Arabidopsis thaliana: one gene and its partners. The protein of the gene in region 1 interacts with the protein of each later gene in a biochemical or structural test. Each region holds a gene or a part of one and is shown in the gene's direction. Other genes may lie near its edges. The genes, in order: TUB1, GRF5 and AT4G14330.

What was found.
Region 2: the proteins of TUB1 (region 1) and GRF5 form a complex in vitro, tested with the Arabidopsis thaliana proteins (one study listed by BioGRID).
Region 3: the proteins of TUB1 (region 1) and AT4G14330 form a complex in vitro, tested with the Arabidopsis thaliana proteins (one study listed by BioGRID).

The regions. Positions count from the first base shown.
Region 1 is NC_003070.9:28,448,175-28,458,539, reverse strand, and holds TUB1 (tubulin beta-1 chain), read left to right. Parts: upstream 1-4,719; 5' UTR 4,720-4,937; coding exon 4,938-5,334; intron 5,335-6,127; coding exon 6,128-6,397; intron 6,398-6,485; coding exon 6,486-7,162; 3' UTR 7,163-7,402; downstream 7,403-10,365. Other genes in the region: sks18 (SKU5 similar 18), read left to right, coding at 1,152-1,289, 1,415-1,524, 1,598-1,868, 2,081-2,183, 2,281-2,641, 2,745-3,110, 3,193-3,271, 3,351-3,560; AT1G75785 (protein TUB21), read right to left, coding at 6,748-6,811, 6,842-7,065; AT1G75770 (uncharacterized protein), read right to left, coding at 7,569-7,874, 7,980-8,039, 8,192-8,518; AT1G75760 (ER lumen protein retaining receptor family protein), read left to right, coding at 10,119-10,341.
Region 2 is NC_003076.8:5,239,923-5,249,935, reverse strand, and holds GRF5 (general regulatory factor 5), read left to right. Parts: upstream 1-4,097; 5' UTR 4,098-4,184; intron 4,185-4,193; exon of another isoform or gene 4,194-4,379; intron 4,380-4,510; 5' UTR 4,511-4,533; coding exon 4,534-5,016; intron 5,017-5,103; coding exon 5,104-5,226; intron 5,227-5,613; coding exon 5,614-5,730; intron 5,731-5,844; coding exon 5,845-5,928; 3' UTR 5,929-6,381; downstream 6,382-10,013. Other genes in the region: AT5G16070 (TCP-1/cpn60 chaperonin family protein), read left to right, coding at 10-57, 196-288, 404-510, 606-720, 800-883, 1,171-1,375, 1,473-1,567, 1,734-1,802 and 3 more; AT5G16060 (Cytochrome c oxidase biogenesis protein Cmc1-like protein), read right to left, coding at 2,727-2,808, 3,230-3,377, 3,718-3,775; AT5G16040 (Regulator of chromosome condensation (RCC1) family protein), read left to right, coding at 6,628-6,656, 6,747-6,891, 7,251-7,361, 7,457-7,517, 7,615-7,730, 7,833-7,918, 8,009-8,210, 8,325-8,378 and 3 more; AT5G16030 (mental retardation GTPase activating protein), read right to left, coding at 9,358-9,624. UniProt on the Arabidopsis thaliana protein: Is associated with a DNA binding complex that binds to the G box, a well-characterized cis-acting DNA regulatory element found in plant genes.
Region 3 is NC_003075.7:8,239,506-8,250,460, forward strand, and holds AT4G14330 (P-loop containing nucleoside triphosphate hydrolases superfamily protein), read left to right. Parts: upstream 1-4,547; 5' UTR 4,548-4,722; coding exon 4,723-5,331; intron 5,332-5,407; coding exon 5,408-5,563; intron 5,564-5,654; coding exon 5,655-5,762; intron 5,763-5,851; coding exon 5,852-5,962; intron 5,963-6,062; coding exon 6,063-7,400; intron 7,401-7,493; coding exon 7,494-7,781; 3' UTR 7,782-7,989; downstream 7,990-10,955. Other genes in the region: AT4G14310 (Transducin/WD40 repeat-like superfamily protein), read right to left, coding at 1-819; AT4G14315 (uncharacterized protein), read left to right, coding at 1,489-1,668; AT4G14320 (Zinc-binding ribosomal protein family protein), read right to left, coding at 2,336-2,520, 3,217-3,238, 3,323-3,397, 3,547-3,726, 4,298-4,300; CKI1 (casein kinase I), read right to left, coding at 9,027-9,266, 9,382-9,518, 9,783-9,846, 9,945-10,018, 10,152-10,278, 10,364-10,448, 10,540-10,603, 10,710-10,771. UniProt on the Arabidopsis thaliana protein: Probable plus end-directed motor protein that may contribute to the transport of Golgi-derived vesicles in the phragmoplast.

The DNA.
Region 1 (10,365 bases):
GTTTTTAAATAGTTAAATTACCACTAATTGTTGTCCGAGTTTGATTGATAACATTTTAACGAAAATATCCAATTACCTTTTGACGTTCACTTTTAATTAAAAATATCTACAAAACGTAAAGTAGATCTTTATTTTTCAAGATTCTTTAACTTTACTGTTTAGTTACGTGATTAGGATTTGTAACCACGTAGACGTGTAAAACAAAATTACTTTTTTATCTGTGATTTATAGGAATTTGAGATTTGAATGCAACGTTGTTGTTTCATCTAACAATAAGTGATGAAGAACTTCAAAAGTCTAAAACCATATCATTTATAAAATCATCATTTCATTTTCAGAACAACTAGGTACGATTAGTGGACGTTTCAACGTCTTTCATGATAATCGCGGGCCATGTAAATTATTATATTTGAGGAATGAGGATCCATATAATATCTTGGCTATATAAAAATTATTTATTTGTTCAATATAATATCTTTGCGTTTTATTGATCAATTGCAAGTTTGCAACGATATACACCAGGAAAAAAAAGGAGAAACAAAATTCATTTTGCTTATACGTATGTACTATGTACATTTCTGTATACTCAAAGTTGTTAGATATTTTGTTGTGGAAAGTGATAATGTTGTTACTTTTTACTGTTTTTTAGGTGGTGTGAACTGTGAAAGTTTGAAAGATACAAAAGTGATGAATAATTTTTCAATAATTGTTTTGCGTTGTATTATTTTTTGTAGGAGTAATAGCGACCATCTTTGTAATATTGTGTAGACAGACAGGTCACATCCACTTTACAATATATCGTAAGCAATTGCCATCGTCCTCCCTCACGTTTTTTTTTTCGTCCGTCACATTACAATAAGATATTTAATGGGCCTTTATGCATGGTTTAGTATAATGAATAAGCCCAGCAAATTTTAACAAAAGCACAAATGTGCTGCCCATAAATTAGGTTGGAAATGCAGATTGCATGAACTTTTCGATCATATTCAAAAAACATAGCACAAAACAAACGTTAACTCCAAACAGAGTAACAATAGTTGTCGTCTAATTAATATATTGTTCCAAAGAAAAATATGTAGCTACGTCTTGCCTCTAACACCTCTTTTTCACATCACAAGCATCTTAAAATTTCTTAAATCACTCTTTTCGCGATGAGACATGTCTTTGTCGAGGTGTTGGTTCTGATCTCTTTGGTCATCTTGGAGTTGAGCTATGCGTTTGCACCAATCTCATCGTATCAATGGGTCGTCTCGTATTCTCAACGTTTCATTCTTGGAGGCAACAAGCAGGTAACCATTTTCATTTGAATATGTTTTTATTTGTTACAATAATATGGTTTTAGCTATCTTATATGAAATTTCAGATGCATGATCAATCTATAGGTTATAGTATTCACCAAAAAAAAAATCTATAGGTTATAGTGATCAACGACATGTTCCCTGGACCGATCCTTAATGCAACAGCAAACGATATCATTGTCGTTAACATTTTCAACAATTTGCCCGAACCCTTCCTCATGACTTGGTATATATTTTCAACTTTTTGTTTTGGGTTAATTTTAGGAATAATTGTTATTAAACCTCTATGTAAATTAAAGGAATGGATTGCAATTGCGGAAGAACTCGTGGCAAGATGGAGTTCGAGGGACAAACTGTCCCATACTACCGGGGACAAATTGGACGTACCGTTTTCAGGTGAAGGATCAAATTGGAAGTTACTTTTATTTTCCGACCCTTCTACTTCAGAAAGCTGCCGGAGGATACGGTGCTATTAGAATCTATCCCCCAGAACTTGTCCCAGTCCCATTCCCTAAGCCCGACGAAGAATACGACATCTTGATTGGAGATTGGTTTTATCTCGACCATACAGTATGTTTCTTTGATAAATTACCGTATTATCATCAAACCTACATTCCAATACTATCCTTTTTATATATAAAAAAACTAATTTTGTAGATCATAATCATTTTGGTTATTGAGTTTTATCTTGCCCATTTATTGAATGTGTTATTAGTTTCATTGTAAAAGATGTTTTGCTTGATTTGCATAATTAACACTTGGTTTCCAAATTTTGGTGTAAGGTTATGAGAGCTTCACTTGACGCTGGTCACAGTTTGCCAAATCCTGATGGTATTCTTTTTAACGGGCGTGGCCCTGAAGAGACCTTCTTTGCATTTGAACCAGGTGAGTTTTTTTCTTCTTTTAAAAATATTACATTATATCTTTAATAATGTAGTTTACACACAAATGTTCTTTTTATGTTGTCTATATATAATCACAGGCAAAACATATAGGCTAAGAATATCAAACGTGGGTCTCAAAACATGCTTAAACTTCAGAATCCAAGACCACGATATGCTTCTAGTTGAGACAGAGGGTACGTATGTTCAAAAACGTGTTTACTCGAGCCTGGACATCCACGTAGGCCAATCATACTCTATTCTTGTCACTGCCAAAACCGACCCGGTTGGAATTTACCGGTCTTACTACATATTCGCCACAGCTCGGTTCACTGATTCCTACCTTGGCGGTATAGCTTTAATTCGATATCCCGGTTCCCCACTTGACCCAGTCGGACAAGGTCCACTCGCACCTGCTTTGCAAGATTTTGGTTCCTCAGTTGAACAAGCCCTTTCCATTAGGTAAAGAAATACTCTTTTTTTATACCAAAGAATAAAAACTTTTATATGAAATATTTCGTTTAGTATTTGTTCTTGACTAATAAACGTTAAGTGTACGACACAGAATGGACCTGAACGTTGGAGCAGCAAGATCGAACCCTCAAGGTTCGTACCACTATGGACGAATAAACGTAACCAGAACGATAATATTACATAACGACGTTATGTTATCGTCGGGCAAACTACGGTATACGATTAACGGCGTTTCGTTTGTCTACCCCGAGACTCCGTTAAAGCTCGTTGATCATTTTCAGCTAAATGACACGATAATCCCTGGCATGTTCCCGGTTTATCCATCCAACAAAACACCGACTCTTGGAACTTCAGTGGTCGATATTCATTACAAAGATTTCATCCACATCGTGTTCCAGAACCCTCTATTTGGATTGGAGAGTTATCACATCGATGGTTACAATTTCTTCGTTGTCGGGTAAAAATTACAATATTTAAATCATAATTATGTGTATGATGATTAAATTAGGTGTACTAATTTTATTTGAGTTTAATGTTAGATATGGATTTGGAGCTTGGTCTGAAAGCAAAAAAGCTGGATATAACTTAGTAGATGCTGTTTCACGGTCAACAGTTCAGGTTAAGCCATATCTAATCTCGTAATTTAAAGTATTAAACCAGTGATTAGTTTTGGTTAATTGATTCTGTGTGTGTTTAGGTTTATCCATATTCGTGGACAGCAATATTGATAGCTATGGATAATCAAGGAATGTGGAACGTGAGATCACAGAAAGCAGAGCAATGGTATCTTGGTCAAGAGCTTTATATGAGAGTTAAAGGTGAAGGAGAAGAAGATCCTTCGACTATTCCGGTTAGAGATGAAAATCCGATACCGGGAAATGTCATCCGTTGTGGCAAAGTTCGATAATAATTAATTGTCTGAAATAATAAAACCTAGAAAAGTCTATTTTAATTAGCAAAACTAAAGAACGGTTTAAAGGAATGATCAGAGAGTATTAGGATCTGTGTTGATCTTAGGGTTTGTGGTTTGATTGCGATTCGAATCACTTGTGTAATTGCAGAAGACGGATGGTAATTTAAAGAGATGATCTTAGGGTTTGTGGTTTGATTGCGACTAAAGACTACTAGACGATGCCGTTTTAGATTTTAATGGGCTCACACAGTTGTTATCTGCAAACCGGCCCAGGTCTGTTTTGACTTGGTGAGTGCTAACGTGCTCTATAAGAAGATATTGTAGCCACATACGAACAGCTAACGTGCTCCCATTTCCTCTATGTTCCCTTGAGTGACATACGTTTTCACAATAAGTTGGGAGCAAGTAATTTACCAAGAACAAATATATATTTTAAAAAATATAGGATCCTTTTACAAGTTCAATTATTGATTTTGACGTTACGTATAAACAGTAGATCGACCATGACATAAATAAAAATGAAAAAATAATTGGATCAAATCTCAGATCTTACTACAGTCTACATCTACCTAGCTACATGTGCTATGGCATTATTTGTTTTTCATGTTATCATCAATATTGTATAAAAGATCCAAACACAATCAGTGTGATGATATTTTTCTATACTTTTGATCATTCAACCGATTTCAATTATTGTGTTTGATCGTTTACATAGAAATAGGTACATATGCATTCAAGATCTCCAGATCGTTTATTACGTCTTGCTACATGTGCTATGTCACTAAAACAACTAAGATACTACATGCAAAGTTACTGTATTCATTACGCATTGATCGTCTTCTTCTACGCACTATTATTGAATTTTTGTTTCTCGATGTTTTCAGAAGTCATAACATATAATCAAGGGTGGTTGTAGCTAGTCGTGATGAAATTCGAATAGTAAAAGATTCATCAAATGGATCAAGATTTGAAACTAGAATGAATGATCGATACTTGAAAGCTATCACACTTAAATAGTTAAATGGACGATATAATTCAACAATATCTTAAATAACATTAATCATTCACTTTGTAGAAATTTCAATTTGACGGTGCTAACAACAATATGTGACATTTTTGTTTGCAGCAAAAAAGTCAAATGGTAAAAAAAAACATTTTTTTAAAAAGAGAGTATAGTAAAAAAAACAGAGGATAAAAAACGAACAAACGGTTAAAGCTGGCAAAGATCCCATCTTCCCCACGCTGTCAAATTTTGTCACTACTTCCCAAAAAAAACTCTCCCGCCTCTCTCTCTCCCTCTCCCTTCTTATTCTCCTCCTTCTTCTCCTTCACCATCTCCAGATCCCAAAATCTTCATCGATCATCATCATCATGAGAGAAATCCTCCACGTCCAAGGCGGCCAATGCGGTAACCAAATCGGTTCCAAATTCTGGGAAGTTATCTGCGACGAACACGGCGTTGATCCCACCGGACGTTACAACGGTGATTCCGCCGATCTTCAGCTCGAACGTATCAATGTTTATTACAATGAAGCTTCTGGTGGTCGTTACGTTCCTCGTGCTGTTCTCATGGATCTCGAGCCTGGTACTATGGATAGTATCAGATCTGGTCCCTACGGTCAGATTTTCCGTCCTGATAACTTCGTCTTTGGTCAATCCGGTGCCGGAAATAATTGGGCGAAAGGTCATTATACTGAAGGTGCTGAACTTATTGATGCTGTTCTCGATGTTGTTCGTAAGGAAGCTGAGAACTGTGATTGCCTTCAAGGTATATATATGAATCGATTTCTCCCTTTTGATTTATGAATCTGCTGGTGCTTTGATCATATTATCTGATTGATTTGTGAATCAAAACTGCAATTATCCGATGGTTTCGATCATTTAAATCTCGTCTCGTGAGTGTTAATGTAGTTGCATATTTAGTAACCGATGATTTCGATTTCAGTTTGATTTTTGATCATCTTCGCATTGCACTAGTGAATCTCTCACATATCGTGTTTTGATATTTGATTAACGTTTCTCTTCATTGATCTCTTCATGGTCATGGTTCCAATTACAGTTTATGAATTACATGAACATGATCCGTCGATGTTCTTGTGTTTGATTTGCGTTTTTATGGTGTTTCTCTCCTGTTGATTACTGTTTAAGAGTGAGCTGTTAACACTTAATGATTGGCTAGGATTTAGATTTTGTCTATTCTTTATAGTAAAAAGTTAACATCATTGAAACTAAGGACAATATCCTAATTTGGCGGTAGTGTATTAGTGTCCCCTAATGTTTTGTTCCAGATTTGTGACTGTGGATCAACAATATCACGTGAAACCTTAAAACCATATCGAATTTTATAATAAGAACTTTAGGGAATACTCTTGTGTTGACACTTTCGAGGTGAAACATATCACTTTGTGGGGATATAATTGAATAAGCAAGTGGGTCATGATTGGTTTCAGCAATTGTTAAATAACATCTCAATACTTTTTGGATCTGGTTTAGGTATAAGGGACTTCTTTAGTTTTGTAGTACATTGTTTCACACTTGTTCTTAACATTTCTGTATTACAGGGTTTCAAGTATGTCACTCTCTTGGAGGAGGCACGGGTTCAGGAATGGGAACTCTCTTGATATCAAAGATCCGTGAGGAATACCCAGACAGAATGATGCTCACATTCTCTGTTTTCCCATCTCCAAAGGTCTCAGACACAGTCGTTGAGCCGTACAATGCAACTCTCTCAGTCCACCAACTTGTAGAGAATGCTGATGAATGCATGGTCCTCGACAACGAAGCTCTTTACGATATCTGTTTCCGCACTCTCAAACTCAGCACTCCTAGCTGTAAGTACCATCAAAACCTTAATGTTTGTTACTTTGTTTTCTTGGTTCCTAAATTCTAAGAGTTCATATATATATATACATTTTGCAGTTGGAGACTTGAACCACTTGATCTCCGCAACTATGAGTGGTGTGACTTGCTCTTTAAGATTCCCTGGACAACTCAACTCTGACCTTAGGAAACTCGCCGTGAACCTTATCCCATTCCCTCGTCTACATTTCTTCATGGTTGGTTTCGCCCCTCTCACTTCCCGTGGCTCTCAACAGTACATCTCTCTCACAGTCCCGGAGCTGACACAGCAAATGTGGGACGCTAAGAACATGATGTGTGCAGCTGATCCACGCCACGGACGTTACCTCACAGCTTCAGCCATGTTCCGAGGAAAAATGAGCACAAAGGAAGTGGACGAACAGATCCTAAATGTCCAGAACAAGAACTCATCCTACTTTGTTGAATGGATCCCAAACAATGTGAAGTCCAGCGTCTGCGACATTCCACCAACTGGAATCAAAATGGCTTCCACGTTTGTCGGAAACTCGACTTCGATCCAGGAAATGTTCAGGAGAGTAAGCGAACAGTTCACGGCTATGTTCAGGCGTAAAGCTTTCTTGCATTGGTACACAGGAGAAGGAATGGACGAGATGGAGTTCACTGAAGCAGAGAGCAACATGAATGATCTGGTCTCTGAATACCAACAATACCAAGATGCTACCGCTGATGAAGAAGACGAATATGATGAAGAAGAAGAACAAGTTTACGAATCTTGATCTTACAACACAAACCAAAAGATGAAAAAACACAGAAGTCACATCTCTATCTCTTTTATTGAAATCTCTATTCCTACTATTACCACTATATATATATATACATGTATCAAGTTGAAGAATCTGGGAAATGTGTTTGTTTGTTTGTTACTTTATCTTTGTGGTTCTCTCTTATTGTATTTTGCAACTTAGTTTCTTCTTTTCTTCTCATTGCCTTTATAATAAAGAGTCTGTCCACGTATCTCCCTCTTTAGCCTTTTATTTCATAGTATTCAAAAAAACGATTCTTAGAATCCTTTCAGTTTATAGTATAGACAACCAAAACATTGGAAACTTGGTTGCATATTCGTTACAAAATCCTGCTATTTCTGCTATATAATTATCACCCCAAAAAAAGGTTTATCAAAAACTACTTAAATTGATAAGAAGAGATGAATCTATTAAAAAGCTTCTTAGATCGAATCAAACCTAGTCTTCTTTGTCTTGCTTGAGCAGCTACTTGGACTTTATTTGGCACTCTCTGAAAACCCTCCTCTGCTGCTGGAAGAAGGTTCAGATCAAAGCCACGTCGTTCCAAGTTATCCATTCGCAACGACGCCGTTTCAACATCCCTCACATTGACCGTACGATCAACCGCAAAAAACGGTAGTTGTTGATCGTATCTTATGGGCTGGGCTATTAAACCAGCTTGCTCCCTAAGTAAACCTGTCTCCGCCTGTATCTCCACAGAATATTATCAAAACGGAAACAAATATCAAAAATGCTAAACATTTTTTTATACAAAAGGGAAAACAAAAAATAAAAAGGTAACAATGAACACCTCGAGGACTGAAGAACTCTGATTTTTCCTACAAAATTCTTCTTCTAAACCCTTTTTAATCTGTCGTTTATATCAAAAACAAACACAAAAAACAATTACTCAATACCAAATTTACCACATAATGAATTTTACACAGATACAAATTAGAAAAATTTAAGAACAAACACAAGAAAAACAAGTCTCTGTTTAAACTGAGAAAAATTAAGACTTACGATTTGAGAATTGGTTTTCTTGGCCTCACCGGTTAAGCACGAAGAACTCGAATTACTTCCCATATCGCCGACATCAGCCATACACGGCAGCGATTTTATCACCGGTTCCGGCGGATGCAGGTGAGAAGAAGAAGAAGACCTCTTTTTAGTGCGACCCCATTTATGTAACACAGGAGAATCAGAAGAGAATATGACAGGATGTGAAAGTTGCAATAAGATAGAAGAAATTTCGTAGTCAATGCTATCGAAAAAATCATCTCTCTTCTTGCCTTTGCCGTCACGGTGATCTTCCATTGATAAACTCTGTGTCTTCTTCTTCTTCGACATTGAATGAAGAGAGACACGAATGAATAGTCTTCTCTTCTTCCCGGCTTGAAACGATTGGGTTAATGAGATAAATCTTTCTCAGAAGATTTTGTTTGTTTTTATTTTTCATATAATAATTTGATGGGTCTAAGCTTATGACACGTGTCAGTACATTTTTTTGGTTAAATTTTCTTTTCTCGTCTTTTGTTTCTTATTTTTTTTATTTTCGAGTTTCTTGTTTTCGTCGTAACTACCTTTTTGGCCAACTAATTTCAGTCAATTTTGGAAGTAAAAAAATAGGATTAATCCCCAATATGTCATGTAAAAAAATACAAAAAATTATTTTTATTTCTGATATTTTTTCGACTTTCATATCTTTTTTTTATGGTATAATATTAATTTCCATCCAAATTGGGCTTTGGCAATGGGTTACAACAAAAATCAATGGTGGTCTCTTTCTTTCTCCAAACTTAGCAAAACTCACACAAGACTTTGTTCTGATGAAGCAAACCAATGTTGAATGTTATGAGCTTAACAAGTTTGGTAAGAGAGGTGTGTTGAGTTTTTCTTAATTAGTTTTTATGTTTGGAGTTTTTGACTCACCAAGTTTCATTTGATTGTTCAGTGGCAAATGACTTGAGGATGAAAAGAAAACAATTCTGATTTCTGACTATATTAGAGATAATCATCAACACCACTAGAGGAAAGATTAGGAGAACAAGAACCTCATAAAATAGGGGAAAGTGGGATTGTATTTAGATATTGGAAAGAGTTTAGCTGTATTATTAAAAACAAATCGATTATTGAAATAATTGCATCAATCAAATCTAAAACTTCCTATAACCTATATTTTTATAATTAAAGCTCTAATTTTTATTTCATCTACTGTTTAATCTTAATTACTATTATCGCACGTATATTCCAAATCAAATTCTTGAAGATCAAAACTGATTCTGCAAAGATTTGGGGAGTGTTAGTGGATTGATCACCTCAGTACATTTTAAGAGCACTATACTAAATTAATAATTACCACTCTAACTAATATAATCATTTTGTGGAATCTGATACAGTCTAAAATCAGAAAACAAGATATTTACATAGCCGTAGAAACAATCATTTTACAACACATAAAATTATGCAAGAAAAAAATACAAATAATTATGAATCAATACTACACAATCCAATTATAATCGTTTAACAATTCATTACAAATATTTTGAAATGAACTTACATTAAGTTTGAAGAAAACCTATTCAATAAAGTTTCTCTATGAATACAAAGAGACAAATTAAACCAGAGTCGTTGGCTTACCACGAATCTAATTTCCACCTAAACATACTTAACAATCCACGTGTCACCGTCATAAAGTGTTAAAACTTTTGGACTTTTTTGTTCTGTAAGAAAAAAGGAGTGATTTTTAGCAATGGGTGCGTTACCAATTTCTCCAGTTTCCCACTCCACATCCAAAAAAACAGTGTAATAATAATCATAATCACCTGATCAATCTCTTACATAAAAGCTACAGATCTGGTTTTATACAATCATCACCGCACCAAGTTCCTAAAGGTTTCGACTTTACTGTTTCTATTTTCGGAAAGAGAGTGCAAGATTGAAATCGAAGATGAAGGCGGCAACAAGGCCGATCCACGCCGTGACGACATGGGTTCGTCGGCAACCACCAAAGGTTAAAGGTTTTCTCGGTGTTGTCTCCGCCATGACTGCCCTCGTTTTGTTGAGAGTGATTGTTCATGACCACGACAATCTTTTTGTCGCTGCTGAAGCTGTTCATTCCCTTGGAATCTCCGTCCTTATCTATAAACTCACCAAGGAGAGGACTTGTGCTGGTATATTCGATTTCTTGATTTTGA
Region 2 (10,013 bases), on another chromosome or scaffold:
ATTGTGTAGTTGTACGAAGGCTTAGCTGATCAACTGACTGACATTGTCGTCAATTCGGTGAGTTAACTGTTCTCTAATGGAATCTCACTTATTCTTTTCATTTTTTTTGTTCACACAGATGAGGACTCATCTATGCACCAATATTGGTTTTCGAGCTTGTTTGTCTTCTAATTATCTACTTTCCTCACATTACAGGTTCTTTGCATCCGAAAGCCTGAGGAAGCTATTGATCTGTTTATGGTGGAAATAATGCACATGCGTCACAAATTCGATGTTGACACACGATTGGTATGTCTTGACTTAATTTATTGTAAAATAGTTCCCTCATTATAGGTTTATATATGAAATACTTGCCGGTTTATAGTATGGACCTGTTGGAAACACTGACTTAATTCTGAATTAGGTTGAGGGGCTTGTTCTGGATCATGGTTCGAGACACCCTGACATGAAACGACGCGCAGAAAATTGCCACATCTTAACTTGCAATGTGTCACTAGAGTATGAGAAGAGGTGTGTAATATAATTCTTTGGTCAATTTGGCGAAGAGAAAGTAAAGGCCTGGATGTTTCTGGTGATGTGGACTAATATTTCTATTTATCTATCAGTGAAATCAATGCAGGATTTTTCTACTCTAATGCGGAGCAGAGGGAAGCCATGGTTACCGCAGAGAGGCGATCTGTTGATGAAAGAGTTAAGAAAATAATTGAGCTGAAGAAGAAGGTGGGACTGCGACCATTTCTCCAAGTTTTATTTTAAAACCCTGTAAAAAATACTAATACATGTTTTATTTCTTGTGCAGGTGTGTGGTGATAATGACAACTTTGTTGTCATAAATCAGAAGGGTATTGACCCACCATCATTGGATCTTCTTGCTAGAGAAGGGGTAAGCTACTTCTGTGTTTTCTTGCATTTAAACTTATGTTACAAATCGCTGAAATTGTGATATTTAGGAACAAGAAGAAAGATACTAGGGAAGAATGTGTTATTAAGTGAATTGAAATTGCCAGTAATATTAAAAGAGTAGTTCCTTCGATATACAATAATCCATGGAGACGATTGGCAGCATTAGTTTTTAGTTCTGGGACACTGACTGAGCTTGTCTATTCTTTTGTACCTAATTTCTCTTGTTTAGAAGCTGTTGAATCTAATTACCTTTCCTCATGTGTCCAGATTATTGGTCTTAGAAGAGCAAAGAGGAGGAACATGGAACGTTTAGTTTTGGCCTGTGGTGGAGAAGCTGTGAATTCTGTTGACGACTTGACCCCTGAGTCTCTTGGATGGGCTGGACTTGTCTATGAGCACGTTCTTGGGGAGGAAAAGTACACCTTTGTGGAGCAAGTGAAGAATCCTAATTCATGTACCATCCTCATAAAAGGTATTAGGACGACTTTTATGTCTTCATTAAGTTTTGATGGTTCATTTGTTCTTTTAGTAGTTTTAGTGTTCATTCATGAATTTCTTGGGTTTTGTAGGGCCTAATGATCACACTATTGCCCAAATTAAGGACGCTGTTCGTGATGGTCTGAGATCGGTCAAGAACACCATAGAAGACGAGTGTGTTGTGTTAGTAAGTACCTTATATATCTTGAAGTTTTTTTGTTAACATTGCTTTATGTTTCTCCGCAATATCAAAGAAATTGTTAATTCGTGATCAAAACCCTGGGTAAGGTTAGCATATAGACCTATTGTATATGTTTTGCGTTATGTTAATGTGTGGTTGCATGTTTCTGTAGGGAGCAGGAGCTTTTGAAGTTGCAGCAAGGCAACACTTACTCAATGAAGTCAAGAAAACCGTTCAAGGGGTAAGTTGATTTCTTCACTCGTACTCTAATTCTCGCAACATTACTTAATGCATCCCAATATTCTAAATTGCTAATACTATCATGAACATTGCAGCGTGCCCAACTTGGCGTTGAAGCTTTTGCTAATGCCCTTCTCGTGGTGCCTAAGACACTTGCAGAAAATGCAGGTCTTGATACCCAAGATGTGATCATTTCTCTTACGGTATGCATTCATCTCTCTTATCATCTTCTGCAAACTGAAATCAATTGTTGAAGGAACAAAGAATTAGAATTGCTCATTGTGATGCGCTTATGCAGAGCGAGCATGACAAAGGGAACGTTGTGGGACTGAACCTTCAGGACGGTGAACCTATTGACCCGCAGCTTGCTGGTATTTTTGATAATTACTCAGTGAAACGCCAACTTATCAATTCAGGGTAATGTTCGACCCAACTAGTCAATTCTAATAAAAGCTTTGGGTTTCGGTTGAAACCATTTCAATAACCGGCTATTTGTTTGTGTTGCAGGCCAGTGATTGCGTCGCAATTACTTTTGGTGGACGAAGTGATTCGTGCAGGCAGAAATATGAGGAAGCCTACTGCTTGAAGTCCTTTGCTTTTAACTTGGTTTCTAATTTGTAAGCACCTCAAATTTTGTTTCTTGGTGTAAATCCTGAATATTGTGAAACATATGTTTTTTTTTTCTTTTTGGCAATGAAAAACATATTTGAATCTGATCTTTAGATGTAGTGGATCTTTTGCAAAATGATAAAAAATAGTAATACAAAATCTATTTGAATCTGATCTCTAGATTTAGTGAATACACCCATATTTAAGAAAGGCCACAGTTTATTTATAAAAAAGGATATATTTTGGTTCGCAATGAACAAGAAACAAAGCGAGGACATTATATTGGTCGTACTCAAATCTTTTGTTCAACAAACATCTATATGGCCGAGGCTGAGACTTTACCCTCTTCTTGAACCATATACGCTCTCTTCATTTCCTCCAAGACATTGTCATTGGTGCTGCAGAATCAACAAAATAGTTTCATGGTTAGACAACATTTAAGCATCGGCCCAACAAGGGAGACGTTCATTAGGGAGTCACATAAAAAGAACTTGTGCACCAAGAACAAGACTGTGCTACACCGATATAGAAGATAGTTATTACTTCTCTTTTATCGCAGTATCAAAGAATCATCAATCATCCCCTTCTATAAGCTTATATTTGGTTACATATATATACTAGCACTGGTACGTCATGATAACGTTATGCATCTCCTAACCACAAGTTGTCTCATTTCATCATATCAGACTTACCAGTGAAGGGTATTAAGAAAGAATAATCAAAATCAGATGCCCCCATACACAACAAATCTTTATACGTAACAGTGAAAAAAAGATGACACCTCTAATGGAAGGAGCACTAAAAACTCGAAAAACTTACAATTGATGGAGGCAAGTGTTGAGCTCCCTAGCTTGCTTACGACATGTCCATACCACAGAAAAAGTTCTTCCTGTTGCGCATTGAGCATACTTGGAGACGTACTGATCACATTCCATTAATGCCTTTGCCTTCATCTTGCTACGCAGCGCTAATAACAAAGTATATACATAATCAATCAAACAACCATTTAACAAAAAAAAACCATCACCATTTCAACTTCAACACAATCTATAAGCTCAATTCATAGAAGCAATTTGACACACTCAATGAGAGCTTGCTAGATCAGATGCAAAATATGGAGTTACTACCAAGGGTTTATGAGAACCCTAATCCTCAATCTAGCAAAAGAATCTGCGTCTATGATAAGAAACCAGGCTTAAATAGTATCGATATGGTTGATCTCATTTTCGAGGCAATAAAAAAACCATTTGGGGGTTTAGGGTTTTAAAACATAGCGAGATGAAGAAGTCACGACATTGTCAAATTACCTTCTTCGACCTTCTTCTTCACGTGATTTTCACGAGCTTGCTCCACATAGCTACCCATTGACGACGGACCTTCGAGCTTTTCCGGCCTTCTCCGATCAATTCGATCAAAAGGGCAAAGGGGACTAGAAATGGGTTCAGGGCAAAGGGTAAATCCGTCATTTACCCCAAGGAAACTTAACTTATATTGCCATTTTGCCCCCTTAATATTTTTGTATTATATGAATGACCTTATTAACTTATGATTCGTCACATTTCACCCACTTCAATTTAAAATTATGGACGAGAATTAAGTCCTTTGACGGTCAACAGATTAGCACGTGTCGTATTTTAATTGGGTCGTTGCCCCTCTCTCTCTCTTTACTCTTTTCCCATTTAATGGTCACGAGACCGTCTCCCCCAAATTTCTCACTTCCCCTAATTTCGCTTCGAATTCAAAAGCCCTAATTCGAAAATTCCCATTTCTCAAGGTACGGTTCCGATCTTCCTTGCTCATACTTCGACAATGTTTTTTCTGCTTCTCGTTTTCTGCGTTTATTGTTGATATGTTGTTGATCTTCGCGTTTTGGTCATCACTTCAAGATCTGTAGGATTCAAAGTTCGTTCTATCGATTTTGGATAGATCTAGCAGTGTAAATCGTTTGTCAAAGTTTTTTATTCTTTGGGTGCGTGGATTAATTTTGTTAGAGATGATTGTTATCGTTGCTCTTGAATGCAAGATTGTTGCAGCATTACTGAGTTCTATTTCGTGCTCTTTGTTTATTGCTGCTGCTTGATATTTTCTTGTTGAAAACAGGTTTTTAAAAGAGTATTGCAAAGATGTCTTCTGATTCGTCCCGGGAAGAGAATGTGTACTTGGCCAAGTTAGCCGAGCAAGCTGAGCGTTACGAGGAAATGGTTGAGTTCATGGAGAAAGTTGCAAAGACCGTGGAGACCGAGGAACTTACTGTTGAAGAGAGGAATCTCTTGTCTGTTGCTTACAAGAACGTGATTGGTGCTAGGAGAGCTTCTTGGAGGATTATCTCTTCCATTGAGCAGAAGGAAGATAGCAGGGGCAACAGTGATCATGTTTCGATTATCAAGGATTACAGAGGCAAGATTGAAACTGAGCTCAGCAAGATTTGTGATGGCATTTTGAACCTTCTTGAGGCTCATCTCATTCCTGCTGCTTCTTTGGCTGAGTCCAAAGTTTTTTACCTGAAGATGAAGGGAGATTATCATCGGTACCTTGCTGAATTCAAGACTGGTGCTGAGAGGAAAGAAGCTGCTGAGAGCACTCTTGTTGCCTACAAGTCTGCTCAGGTTATCATCTTGTTTCTTCTTCTTAACCATATAGAGTGCTAAGATAACATGTTGTCTCATGCTATTGGTGTTTGTGTTTTTATGTAGGATATTGCTCTTGCTGATCTGGCTCCCACTCACCCAATCAGACTGGGGCTTGCTCTTAACTTCTCTGTTTTCTACTATGAGATTCTCAACTCATCTGATCGTGCGTGTAGTCTCGCAAAGCAGGTCTGTGTTACTTTTTCATTTATGCTATGCTTTCTGTCATTAACTAACAAACCTATATTCCAACTGTTTTGCTTGATTAAACTTAGCACATAAGAGGTTCTTTTTTTCTATCTATCGTTCATAATGTGGCAAAAACGTGTTACGTAGTTAACTTGTTACACTTCCATGTGGGTAGACTTTCCATATGTTCTAGTAATGGTTTGTAGATTGCTTACCATAGCCTGACCGATAGGGTTGTAGTTAATTTTGATGATGGGCAGAATTGGGAAACTAGATCCTGTGAATGGTTCCATACACTAGTGAAATTTGGACAACCTTCACATTCGGATTCTAGTTTGATTCAAGTACCTTTTGTTTAGTTACTAATATGATTTTTCATGGTGGTAGGCTTTTGATGAGGCAATCTCGGAGCTAGACACATTGGGAGAGGAATCATACAAGGACAGTACATTGATCATGCAGCTTCTCCGTGACAATCTCACCCTCTGGACTTCTGACCTCAATGTACTTGTCTCTCTTTACACTCATCATTGTTAGCAATATCTTAGTGATTGCATCATGCAGTTAAGATTCTTGTTGGTTTTCGCATAACATTTGTGTCTAATATCTAATCTCCAGGACGAAGCTGGTGATGATATCAAGGAAGCCCCGAAAGAGGTGCAGAAAGTTGATGAACAAGCCCAACCACCACCTTCGCAGTGATAAAATCAGATCCATGGAATGATTTGCAGACAAAAAAATATATGGCTTGGTTCTGTGTTTTTAAACAGAAAAAAACCTTGTAGTTTCCTTAAACATGGGCTGTAGTTTCCTTAAACATGGATTTGTAGTAGTAATTGTAGCTGCATGATTTGGTTATCGATGGTTAAAACTCTTTGTGTGCTTCTCACATGTTTTGGTTGTTGTCGTTGTTGCCGGTTTCACTATTAGACTGCATTGCATTACATGGTCCGGTCTAAAAGTTGAAAACTTGCTTCCTTCTCTGATTGGGGTTTAGTTGTCTTTTAGATTATGCTTCTCTAGGTGGAATGTTCCCCAAATGGAATTGGTTAAGACTCAAGAGAGTTGTTCAATGAAACGAAATAGAAATGGAATTTCACAACTTTAAACGAAAGATAAAGCCTCTTTCGGTTTGGAACAACTGTTAGGTAACACATATAATGGAATTACAAATCATAAATCCTCCATGACCATAAGCTAAAAAGTTGGATTAATTAATAAATGACATGGGAATGGGAGGTAACATTAACTGGTCCAAAATAAATAATTAATGTAATGACACATTCACATAATAATATCTCGAATTGAAATCCCACCGAGAGTGCCCTGCTTTTCCACTGAGTTTCTTCATATATATCTCTTTCTCTCTCATTTGTAATTGTATCTCTCACTTTTGTTTCAATGGCTTCAGCTACTTCCGTCATAGCCTGGTCATTTCTCTTTCTATTCTACCTCTTTGTTTTTCTCCATTACTGTTTCTGACTTGTGCTATTGCTCCTTCGTTTGATTTTTTGGCACAGGGGTTCTGGAGAAGATGGGCAACTAGGACTTGGAACCGATGAAGAAAAGGAATTGGCTTCCGTCGTCGACGCTCTTGAGCCTTTCAACGTTCGCTCCGTCGTCGGTGGTAGCCGCAATTCCCTCGCCATTTGCGATGATGGCAAGGTTACTTATCCAATTTCCTTTATGTGTCCTTGTTGTGTCTTCTTTGGTTGGTTTCGCTTAGAACTAACTAAAGTACAATGCTTTGCTTTGATTTTGCGATTTGATTCTAAGCCATGTCTTTAAGATTTTCTTAGTTCGCTTTACATAGGGTTTTTGAGATCTGTAGGACCAATTAAAAAGGGTTTAAAGCTCGTATTTTTTTTCTTGTCCTGAAGTCCAACTAAAATGCAACCAATATGTTTGTCTGAGGTTACTCTCGAATAGATCATCAGACTCTGGTTCTTGTCTCCATGGTGTAGTTTATGATTGATGTGTCACCAACATATAGAAATAATATGGTCTCTTAAATGGTTTCTCAGCTGTTTACATGGGGTTGGAATCAAAGGGGTACATTAGGACACCCACCTGAGACAAAAACAGAAAGCACCCCAAGTCTAGTTAAGTCTCTTGCCAACGTCAAGATTGTTCAGGTAAAACTTCTTACAATTATTTAAGTATTTTTGGCTCTAATGCTGTTTCCTCGTTGTGATTTACTCTGAATTGCCGTTTCTGTAATTGATCATAGGCAGCTATTGGTGGCTGGCATTGTTTAGCTGTCGATGATCAAGGCCGAGCATATGCTTGGGGTATGCATTTTCTCTCTCAGCTTCTTTCTAATGATTGTGACCTCAATGATCTTAATGATCTTAAGTTGTTCACCTTTTTGTTATATAATCTACTTAGGTGGAAATGAATATGGACAGTGTGGTGAAGAGCCTTCCAAGGATGAGACAGGTAGGCCTGTGCGGAGGGATATTGTAATACCTAAGCGTTGTGCCCAGCAACTTACAGTCCGACAGGTTACTTATGCTGCTAACCTCTCTTCATTTACCTCAATTTTTAGTTCTCTTTTTTTCCTGTCTAAACCATCTGTTCTCGGGTTTGTATGATTAAAATAACAGGTAGCTGCAGGGGGTACTCACTCTGTGGTTCTAACCCGTGAAGGTTATGTATGGACTTGGGGTCAACCGTGGCCTCCCGGTGACATGTATTATCCAAATTTCCTTTCGTTTATGGATACGACATTTGCATTTTCTTGTCTTCTGTTGGTTTATATGGTGTTTCCTGTGTATCGCAGAAAACAAATTTCTGTTCCTGTAAGAGTTCAGGGTCTTGAAAACGTTCGTCTGATTGCTGTGGGAGCATTTCATAACTTGGCTCTGAAAGAAGATGGGACTTTGTGGGCTTGGGGTAATAATGAATATGGACAACTTGGAACTGGAGACACACAACCGAGATCGTATCCTATTCCTGTCCAAGGCCTTGACGATCTCACTTTGGTATGTAGTCTAAGACTTCTGGTTTAAGCACTCATTATTATAACTGATGCCTTCAGATATGTGAACTATAAAGGCCTATGTTAAAGTTTAATTCCTCCTCTGAATTCATGTTAGGTTGATATCGCTGCGGGTGGATGGCATTCAACAGCTTTAACCAATGAAGGAGAGGTATTAGAAGTCATACATTCTCTTACTAATCTAGGGTCTCACTTTTTATTCCATCTGGCTCTTGATCGAGTCATTACTGGGTTGTTTCTGAGCTTGATGTAGATCTTTACTCTAAAAATGTTGTAACTTGGCTATGTCCAATATTAGGTTTATGGTTGGGGAAGAGGAGAGCATGGAAGGCTCGGGTTTGGTGACAATGATAAGAGCAGTAAAATGCTTCCGCAGAAAGTTAATCTCTTAGCTGGAGAAGACATCATTCAGGTAAAAAGTACAAACCACCAGTTCTTGACTCTTCTCATAGCTTTGAAAGCTCTTATTGTTTTTTTTCCTCTCAGGTCTCTTGTGGCGGAACTCATTCAGTCGCTTTGACAAGAGACGGTAGGATCTTCTCGGTAAGTCCTCTTAGAGAGTATAAAACATTGTTGGTTAGAAACCCAAAGTCAATCTATAAACCTCTCCTTTATATTGATTCCTGTGATCAGTTTGGTCGGGGAGACCACGGTAGACTCGGGTATGGAAGAAAAGTAACTACGGGACAACCATTGGAGCTTCCTATACACATTCCACCACCAGAAGGACGGTTCAACCACACCGATGAAGAAGACGATGGAAAATGGATAGCTAAACATGTAGCTTGTGGTGGCCGACACACTCTAGCAATTGTGGAATGGAAGTATGATCAGGAGGAAACAGAATAACCATGAAGAAGATAGAGCGAGCAAAAAAACAAAAACACAAGAGGGACTCTAGAGATAAGCATTTGTTATAGAGAAAAGGGGAGCAAAAGCATATGGTTAAGCTTTTGACACTCCCATGAATGATGAATCTATATGAAAGAGGAAGAACTAAATATAATATCATCATGATTTTGTTTTTGATAATATAAAATAGATTGAAAAAGAGAAACAAATAAGAGGAACCTTTGAAAGGATGGTTTAAACCTTTAAACCTTTATTGATTCTCTCGGTTTAAAGGTTTTTCAACAACCTTTGACAAGATGAGGAACACAAATAGGGAAGATATACTTTGATTTTCTTGCTTGTCTTTGTCTTGATCTCACCCATGAGAAACATCCAGGTCCTCTCTTCTTCTTCTTGGTCTTCTCTTCTTCTTCTTGTTCGTCTTCTTCTTCTTTATCATCTTCTTCACTCATATCTTGCTTCTCTTCTTCTTCTTCTTCTTCATCTTCTTCGTTGCTCATATCTTGCTTCTCTTCTTCTTTTTCTTTCTCTTCCAACTTCACATCCTTCAAAGCTCAAATAAATCTTCATTAACATGTAATATCTTGAGAAGAACAAGGCTTAGATATATAATATAGATAAGACTTATTTTCCTTACAAGTGTTTTTGGCCTTTTGGCAAATTATCTACAGTTTCATGTCCAAAAACAGCAATTGATAATAGTTATACAAACGTAAATCATCTCTTTTCTTTCTCAAAGGTAAAACCACATGTAAAGTTGGGGACTGGTGAGACTTGATGAAACAAACTTCTAAGGTCTCTAATCGAGTTTGAATAGAATGAGATTGCTATCAGTGCCTTATCAAGTTACAAAAACTTACTCCTAAATAACATGTTACTCATAATCATAAGAGTGACTATAACTGTATATTTAGATAAATGTACAGAGAAAATA
Region 3 (10,955 bases), on another chromosome or scaffold:
CTTGATATCTGATGCAATTTTCTTAACCTTTCCTTCAAGAAAAGCAAGCTTCTCGTGCAGCTTGCTTGGATACTTAGCAGTACTATTGCTGCTTCCTTCATTTCCTCTTATATCCTTTGACATCTCCATTGCCTTCCCAACATTATCCAAAGACTTCCTTCTTAAAGCTACACTAGTCCCTTTCCCAGTCTTTTCAATCTTACTATCAGATTTCAAAGCAACAGTAGATTTCTCTCCAGAACCAACTAAAGCATGTGCCTTTGGATCAGAAATTGAATTTCTCGCCACACTAGAACCTTCAAATTTGCTTGAATTCACTGGACAACTACTTCCTTCATCTGCTTTCTCACAAACACTACTTGGCTCAACCTTAATTTCACTCGTACCCTGTTTGAATCCAGAACTCTTGAGCCCAGACTTCTTATCCTGACCCGATTCACCCTTTTCCCCAATAACCCTAGATTCATTTCTCTTTCTCAAATCCGAGAAAACCCTAATCAAATCAGATGGACTAGAACTCCTACCTCGCAAACCAGATGACGTGGATCGCGTAACCCGACCCTCGCCACTCACGGCGGACTTATCAATGCGCGGTACAGGCCGGAGCACTGGCTTCTGAGTCGATCCAAATGAGCGGTGACTAAGCTTCGGATTCGGATTCTCTTTGCTGGATAATGATTTCTGAAGAGCGGGATTTGAATTTTTGCTTGAGATCGGAAGTGGAGTTACAGACCTCAATGGTTTTTTACCAGATGATGGATTTTCACCGGCGCCGGTGTTTATATCTTTTAGCCGGCGGCGATTCGTTGAAGCTGACATCTGCAAAATCGTAGGGTAAAATGATTTAGGATTTTGAAAAAAAAGTTTGGGGGAAAAATAAAAGCTTTTGATTTTTGAAGAAAAAGCACAAAACGATAAATGGAGGATATCACTACCGCAACTCCACAAGCCGACAAATTTATTAGAGTTTCAATTTCAAAATATTTGGGCGGGATTTCCAAAAAAAAAACTCAAAATTTTTGGAGATCGCGAATGTTCAAAAAGTCGATTGATTAACGAAACGCAGCGTTTAGGTAAATTTATTAAACACGTGATAGCAACAAATGCAGAACGCGACATTTTGAAACACGTGGCAGTGTAGAAATAGCGACACGAATTTTGTTAACTAAAACGCTGCGTTTTTAATAAAATATACAGTAACAGTTGAATAGTTGATTGCGACACGAAACGATGCGTTTAGGGTATGCTGTTTTTAAAACACGTGGCAGCAACAAATAAACCGAAACGCAGCGTTTTGAGGTGGTTATTAACGTGAAAGGTCTCGCCAGTTTTTGTGTTTCATGCATTAGTACACGAAACGTTGTCTTCTACTTCTCGGGGAAACGACACAACCGTAGATTTGATGTCTGAATCTGTGTATATATAACTTCTCCAATTAGAGACACTAACACAGAATTGATCACTACTCCTATCGAAAAGTAGACGAAAATGGCGAATGAGTATGGATTCGGGATGGGTTCGGTTTTGGCGATTGTTGTCGTTGCACTAATGTTACTGTTTGTTCCGTTGATGATGGGACCGGTGACTGCACCATCTCTTCCAATGATCTTGATGTTTCCGGTCGTATTGCTCTTTGTGTTTCTCTATCTCCATTTTACTTCCAAGTGATCAAACATCAAATCTCTTTCTATTATTATCGTGTAATATGCAGTACGTATTTATTTCGATAGTATTGCTCTTACGTTTTTGGTTATACATTTATAAAAACAAAAATTGTATTTGTTCTATTATATACAATATATCAATTGACTAACGCATGCGCAGTTGGTTTGGATCTCTATTGATTTGCAAGTAAATTTTTTGGATTTATCTTTCTTTCTCACTTCGTTTCTTACATTATTAGAGAATTTGACTTACATCGCGATGTATGTTTTACAAGCAAGTAGAATCGATGCCACTTTCCTTAGATATTAGCGTAGTAGACAATGTCAATGATCGAGAAATATACACAAAAGTACCTAACTTTTGTCAGCATGAACAGATTTGAATGATATTACGTAATTGTAGAGAAGAAACTTACCTTAAAATTAACACCTCTAAAAGGTAAGAATGTGTTAGTAGAAAATGGCTATTCATATTGTAAAATTAAAAGGCCGTATAATTAGTACAGAGGAATTCGACTTGGAAACAGAAAATTAGAGATTAAATAAAACACGAATTTTAAATAACGGAAATAAAACTTTAGTGTAAATTATCTATACCCATAATATATATAGTACCAGAATCTAAGTATAATAAAGTAAAAAAAGAAAAACTGAAGTAGCATCCTTGACCGTCACCACATCTTCCGCCGCTGGCTGCCTGGCTCCACCACCACCACTACTACATTCACCGGTTCATTGTCAATACCACCACCAACAGGTCCTTCTCCTCTATCACCACAGCAGCCAGGACCACCACAGCAGACACAAGAGAATATCATCTCATCTACCATTTTGCCCGCACAGCTCTCAATTAAAACTAACACAAAGGCCAAAACACATAGGACTATCATGGTAATATAAAAAGAGTTGTTCATGTTCTCTTTTGTGCAATAAGGAGCCAGGAAACATGTTCTTCTATTTATATAATTTGGTTTTATTGTAACACATTAGTTTCGGGTCAGCTAATGGCATGATTATCATATAGCCAAAATAGAACCTTCATTTTCCATTCACGTTGCGGGGAATATAGAACCACCAATATACCGAGGAGAAACTTCTGTATGCTCTTAAGAAATTTAGTGAAAGTTAGTATGGCTGAAGTTAAAAGAAGAAAACAAATAATATTTAGTATTATCAATTCATTTCTATACGTATATGTCATTTTAATTTGCCAAGCTCATATATAACACTGATTTGCAGCACAAAACGATAAATGATTTTTCGAGATCCGAAAATAGAAAGTGGTTTTTAGAACTTAAAGAGTGTTATGTCTACTTTGTCGCAAGTTATAGAGAATACTCAAGGGCAGCCTAATGAAGAAAGATTGGTTAACCAAATTAAAAGACATCCATAAGACCAAGTCCTATTTAAATTAAAAACCAGGACCATTTCTGGTAGATTCAAAGTATATCACAGTATTGAAGCAGGACAGGTACCAAACAAAACAAAAAAAAGTAGATAGATGAAACAACAACTTAAAAGAGAGATGTTCCCTTTCCCTTCTTGTCTCCACCGATCTCAAAGTGCTTGCACCTCTGCAAAAACCACACACAAAGTGTAAGAAACAGAACTGAGACTAAAGAGTGATTAACAAAGGTAAAGAATGTCGCAGACATTACCTTAATCGGGCGTTGCGAGAAATGCTTGCAGCTTTGGCATTGAAGCCTCAGCACAATCTTCTTAGTTGTCTTAGCCTGTTCCAAAGAAAGACAAATAATGAGCAAGGTCCAATTAACAAATCATTCCTATAAGACATATTTCACAGAGTCAATTCTGAAATCCTAAATTGGTTCTCACATAGAAGACAGTAATTAGAGATCAAGACAAGGAAAAGCGAGTATACCTTCTTGTGGAAGACGGGCTTGGTCTGACCTCCATAACCAGATTGTTTACGATCATAACGACGCTTTCCTTGGGCAGCAAGGCTATCTTTACCTTTCTTATACTGCGTCACCTTGTGCAAGGTATGCTTCTTGCACTCCTTGTTCTTGCAGTAAGTGTTCTTAGTTTTCGGAATGTTCACCTACAGAAAACCAAGTTTAAAACTACCACAAGATACAGTTTCAACAGCATACAGAATTAATTACGATCATAGAAGTGAATCTAAATACGCCCTTCAGAACAAACCCTAAAACTTGTTAATAAAATTTCCTGCTTCTCCTAAATCATTCAGAATTAATTGCTACCATACGATCTGACTACTCAACTAGTCAATATTGATAACCATTTTGTGAATCCTACAAGTCCCTGAAGTACAAATCCTTCTTAATTCTCCTAAAAATCAGAACAGAATTGCAGCAACACAAATGAAGATACATAACACTATATCATTTTGAATCTCTGGTAGATTGGAGCTAAAACTCTTCACAGAGACGAAGTGAACTGAATCTTCGAATTTACAACACAGAATGCAACATAACAGATTCTAAAAATCACAATTAGACTCTAATAATTCTCGATTTAAGATGCAAAATCAGAAATAAACAACTTAAAGAAGAAGAAAAATCACACAGCAGATCTATAATCAATAATCTCGTTCTTCAATAGTAACCAAGGAGAAATTTAGCAGAAATAAAGAAAGAGAAGAGAGTCACCATTTTCGCTCTTCGGTGAAGCTCGTGCCGTCGTCTTCCACTGCCGCAAAACCTTTAATAAAAACCTAAAGTAACAGAGCTTATAAGAGAGACATTTGAGAAAACCCTAATACTACAAACATTGGGCCTCTATAAACACAAAAAGCCCATTAACTTAATCAAAAAGTCAGGCCCATCTCACTTCCCTTTTTTAAAAGAAAGTAAATATATTCTAGTTGCCGAAAATAAAAATTGTTAATAATCAGTGGCCCGTGGACAAAAACTAGCCGTTTAGAGATACAACACAACGGTTATGTTTGTTTCTTTGTTTCAAACTTCAAACCTCGTGAATCACTCACAAACCCTAATCCCCTTTTTCATTTTCTCTCTCTCTAACGCTCTCTGAATCTCAATTTCAATTTCACTCTTTCGAAACTTCTTCAACAATGGCACCGACACCATCTTCTTCAAGATCAAATCAAACTCAATACACCTTAATCAGAACTCCACAAACAAAACAACGTCTCAATTTCCACTCAAAAACCCCAAACCCAGACGGATCTAAAGATCCATCTCCACCGGAGCATCCAGTTGAAGTAATCGGCCGGATCCGAGATTACCCTGACCGGAAAGAGAAATCACCTTCGATCTTACAAGTCAACACAGATAATCAAACGGTACGAGTCAGAGCTGATGTTGGGTACAGAGACTTCACACTCGACGGTGTTTCTTTCTCGGAGCAAGAAGGTCTTGAAGAGTTCTACAAGAAGTTTATAGAAGAGAGGATTAAAGGAGTGAAAGTTGGGAATAAATGCACGATTATGATGTATGGACCTACTGGTGCTGGAAAGAGTCATACTATGTTTGGTTGTGGGAAAGAGCCTGGGATTGTGTATCGTTCTTTGAGAGATATATTGGGAGATTCTGATCAAGATGGTGTTACTTTTGTTCAAGTTACTGTTCTTGAGGTTTATAATGAGGAGATTTATGATCTTCTTTCGACTAATAGTAGTAACAATTTAGGTATTGGTTGGCCTAAAGGAGCAAGCACTAAGGTAAAGTTTCTTGATTGATAACTTTAGTATACATTGAATTGGCTTTAAAGGTGTGTACTTTGTTGTTTTGTTACAGGTGAGGCTTGAAGTAATGGGGAAAAAGGCGAAAAACGCAAGTTTTATTTCTGGGACAGAGGCTGGGAAGATTTCTAAAGAAATTGTCAAAGTGGAGAAACGGAGAATTGTGAAGAGTACACTTTGTAACGAAAGAAGTTCTCGGAGTCACTGCATTGTAAGAACGATCTTCTTGATTGATGTGTATGCATAGCTTTATGCAGCTTATCTCTGTTTTAACTTACTAGTGTGGTTGTTTCTTTTTGTAGATCATACTTGATGTGCCAACTGTTGGGGGAAGATTGATGCTTGTTGACATGGCTGGTTCTGAAAATATAGACCAAGCTGGGCAGACTGGATTTGAAGCTAAGATGCAAGTAATGTTTCCTCTCTCAATTTGTTTGATTCTACTAAAGTTATTGTAGTTATGGATATCAACTGACTTATATCTCTCATTATTCAACAGACTGCTAAGATCAACCAGGGAAATATTGCACTGAAGCGAGTTGTGGAATCTATAGCAAATGGAGATTCTCATGTACCCTTTAGAGACAGCAAGCTGACCATGCTTCTCCAGGTGAAATTCTTGTTCCATTGTTTTATCTTCTGGAAAATGTTTTACGTGTTGCTTGGTTTTCTTGAAGATATTTAGTGTTGTTTCTATTCTCTGAATGCAGGACTCTTTTGAAGATGACAAGTCAAAGATTCTAATGATCCTGTGTGCGAGCCCGGATCCAAAGGAAATGCACAAGACTCTCTGTACTCTAGAGTATGGGGCAAAAGCAAAGTGCATAGTTCGTGGGTCTCATACTCCAAACAAAGATAAGTATGGGGGTGATGAGTCTGCTTCTGCTGTGATTTTGGGATCAAGAATAGCTGCCATGGATGAGTTCATTATCAAACTCCAGTCTGAGAAGAAGCAAAAAGAAAAAGAAAGGAATGAGGCACAAAAGCAGCTGAAGAAGAAGGAAGAGGAAGTTGCTGCTTTAAGATCTCTTTTAACACAGAGGGAAGCTTGTGCTACCAATGAAGAGGAGATAAAAGAGAAAGTAAACGAGAGAACCCAGCTTTTGAAGTCGGAACTAGATAAGAAACTTGAAGAATGCCGAAGAATGGCTGAGGAATTTGTTGAGATGGAGAGAAGGAGAATGGAGGAAAGGATAGTTCAGCAGCAAGAGGAACTGGAGATGATGAGGAGACGGTTAGAGGAAATCGAGGTTGAGTTCCGCCGCTCAAATGGAGGAAGTGTTGATGAAACTAGTGGGTTTGCCAAAAGACTCAGGAGTCTTTACTCTGATGATGATCCTGGTATGGTGAAGTCAATGGACCTTGACATGGGTGATCCAGAACCTGTCAAGCAAGTGTGGGGAGCTGTTTCACACCAATCAAGCAACACTATTAGTAGCAACTTCACTAACCTTTTGCAACCGAAGCCTTCAGAGAATATGCTTACACAGATGTATCCTGACCGGGTATGCTTGAGCACTGTCTTTGAAGAAGAAGAAGTTGAAGAAGAGGAAGAAAAAGTGATAGTCGAGGATAAAAGCATCTGCTTGATAACAACACCAATGCCTAGTTTGAACTCTGAAGGTTTGGGTAAAGAGAACTGCTTCAACGGTGCAGATGACAAGGAATCAGCCTCGTCTAGAAGGTTGAGAATTCAAAACATTTTCACCCTTTGTGGCAATCAGAGAGAGCTGTCTCAACACAGTGGACAGGAGGAGGATCAAGCCAATATTGCATCACCTGATAAGAAAGACAATCAGTTCTTTTCTATTACGAATAAGGCCGAAGCACTAGCAGTAGAAGAAGCAAAGGAAAACAATATCTCAGTCGATCAAAGGGAAAACGGTCAGCTAGATATCTATGTTAAATGGGAAACAGCTGCTGATAACCCTCGAAAGCTCATAACAACACTGAGAGTTACAAAGGATGCAACACTAGCTGACTTGAGGAAGCTTATTGAGATCTACCTTGGATCTGATAATCAGGCTTTTACCTTTCTCAAGCTCGGGGTAATAAACTTGAACCAACAAGCACAAAAAGCTTTTCATTTTTATCTGTTTGTTATGCTCTGATCCTAAATGCAGTTATTTCAATGTATGAAGGAACCATGTGGAGCTCAAGTGGCAAAGGAGAAAGAATCAACAGTTCAAGCTACGAGCCTACCTCTCTGCAACGGACACGCATACCTCGCCACTTTGAGACCAGGAAAGAGCTCACAACATAAAAGTCTTCAACCTGCAAGCCCACTTCCACTTAATCCCATAGAAAACATGATGGAAGTTACCCCCATCTCAAAAGTGACACCGAACCATCAAGTTGATGAATTTTCATCACCCAATCTCGTAGCTCATCTCAGCTCCACTCCATTCATCACTCTCAGAAGACATTAGTCGCTATGTCTTGTTTTCTCTATTCTTCTTTTGTCTGTCCAAAGGTAGCTTTTGAAAGATGTAGCAGCCTTTGTCTATTTCTCTGTGTTGAGAAAAAAAAAACTCTTATGTACGACCACTTTTGTAGCTATATATATGTTCTACGATGTTTCAGCAGAGTGGTGTTTATCAGAACGTATAACTGGTGTTTCCCAAAGGATGCTTAGTTCTACTTATAACATATACATAAGTAGAGAGAATGCTGCAGCCACATAGAGCTACTTCTTACCTCTCTCTGTCATTGTAACATATGGACAAATTCCAAAAGCCCTATTCAATTCCAACCCCAATATCTTTATGATCATCATCATAACGTGAACACCAAAAACAAGGGCAAAAATTTCAAAGGCTCTTAAAAATAACAATATCCCGGAAGCAAAGATTACCTGCAACTGCAAGGGAAAGCCAAGCCCTATTATAGAAAAGCAACTTCATTAGTTAAGCCCTATCTCTCAATATGCTCACATGCATGCATTGACCAAATGTCTTCTTTTATCTACAGGTACTCAGTCACTTTCTTAGTTACACACTAGATTAACTCAATTCTTCTGCAACCTCATTATCTCCAAAGTAAAAGACCACTGTTATTGATGTTTTTATGGATAATATATGATGATTCATCTTTATTACATTAGCTGAATACAGAACAACAACCAATTAACTCAATTATTTTGAAAGATGTATGTAGCCTGTCTATTTCTCGGTGTTGAGAAAAAAAACGCTATGTACGACCACTTTCAGCAGTCAAAGTGAGTGACTAGAGCCATCAGCATGGAGTGTTTTTCAAGTTGTACAACAAGATTTGTCAACAAAGTCTAAAACTTTCTTTTATTCGACCATAATATGACTGACTAGGCACGTTGGTTTTCGATATACAGTTTAAAAGGTTGGAGAAGATGACTAGATGAGATAGGTTTTCATATTTTACTTCCACATCGAAGTTTTAGAGAACAGAAAGAGGAGAAAATTGAAGTACACATGAGACAAGTTACACTTTAAAGCTTTATTAACAGATTCTTTTAAAAACAGAGACTGAGAGATTGGGAGAGGCAGATTACATTAACTCTCTTTCTCTCTCTCACTTTCTCATCTTGTTCCCAAGGTTAAAAAACAATTCGAGGACATGTCTTTCCTATTTTCAGAGGAGAGAGCCATCAGCACCGAATGTTGTCTTTTCACTCTCATCAAACTTCTCCTTCCCTATCTTCATTTCCTCTTCTTTCCAGAGCCGATGGTAAGGAGCTCGAAGTTTCTAATGGCATCCTCATGCCCAGGCCTTGCTGCAGCTGCAGATTCATAGCTCTGTGGAACCCGTTGGGTTGTGGCATGACGTGAACCACTTGAAAATAGTCGGCTTGAGTGGTTCTCGCTTGGTTCAGCTGATGAGCCAGGTCTGGTGCTTGATATCACACCTCTCTTTGAGGTACTTCCATTTCGAGACTCGTGCTGCAAATGAAGCCAGCAAATCAAAACACACAAACTTTCTCATGTTCTGATTCCCTACTTATTCTGAGAATTACTTTGGATCATTACAACAAGAGAAATAACAACACAAACTAACCACTTCCTTGGCAGAAGAGGGTATATCATCAGAAGATCTGTGTCTAGAGCGATCACCAAGAGCGCCTTGGCTTGAAACATTTCGTCTGGTGAATGCCTCAATTGCACCTGTAAATCTTCCTCGCAGGTCCTGTCCGACTAAACAGAATAGGGAAAGAAGTTCTCAGTTTGAGATCTTCCACTATTCAACAATTTAATTAAATCTCTGGACACAAATTCAAAATCTTCTAAGGGAAACAACATATGAATGTTAATATCTGAAGGGTCAAGTGAGATAGTGCACGTTTTTCAGCACCCAAAATTGTCAACACTGTCTCATAAATTTACAACTTAAAATAAACTTTTTGATATATCTCTTTGTATTCGTCCCTCCAATATAAGAGACAGAGAACATCAATGTACCTGTAGGCTTTTCAGCTCTTTCTGCAGGTGGTCCTGGAGGGTCCAACGCTGGTCTTGGAGTTGGCTGTTGTAAATGATAGACACATAGCAGGATAAGATTTTGGATTATTCAATTGTTCTGAGACTTGGTTCTCCACACGTTAAATCAATAATAGAACTAACCCTTGGTCTCGAACTAGAGCCAATCTGAGGATACTTCGAGATTGTCCAATCAAACACATAATCAAGCTGATAACCTGCATAGTCCATTCCATTAAATGCGTATAAGAAAGCTAGAGATGATTCTTTTAATCCCACTAGACTGCATAGACCATAAACAATCTAATAATAGAGAGTGAATAGAGAACAAACAAAGCAAGAAGTTTCAACCTTCACGAATGAAAAGATCCCTAAAAAGTCTTCTCAGATATGAATAATCCGGTTTGTCCTCAAATCTCAATGAACGACAGTAATGGAAGTACGATGTGAACTCTGATGGATACGACTTGCAAAGAGTCTGCAAAAACGTAAAATCATGCTATGTCAGAACTACTGGACATCTGAAAACATCATCTGCATACATAACCTTAACAATGATGTACCTCTACAGAAGTAAGCATCTTCTTTTCACTAATCTTGTCATATTTCTGCTTCTTCGTACCAGCTTTTAAACCTTGCCACGGAAGACTGATACAAGAGAAAACATGAACTCGAGTTTAAGGATTTCGTTTTCTTTATGAAGTTATAAGTTAATATACAACCAAGAAACTTTTACTACCTTCCTCGTAGAAAATACATCAACACATAACCAAGTGACTCCAGATCATCTCTTCTACTTTGCTCTGTAAGTATGCATAAAAAAAATGAGTCAGCAAAGGAAGATAAGAGTTTTCATCAAATGCTTCTGACAAGAAATCCACGGATGTATGAGATGAAAGCAGCTCTTACCAATCCCAAGGTGTGTGTTCACACTTGCATACCGAGCAGTTCCTGTAAGATTCTTGTTTTCCCTGCAAAATTGCAAGGAATACTAATAAAGCAAGCTGGAAGAAGAGTGCACAAAGGAAAGTATTGAACACGATCTATAAGAAAACACTGGTGCAGCATAAAATTCAAGTTTCATGAATAAGATAGGCACGGAAGATCAACTAAACATATATCTACAACAGGTTCCTAAAACATGGATGACTGAAA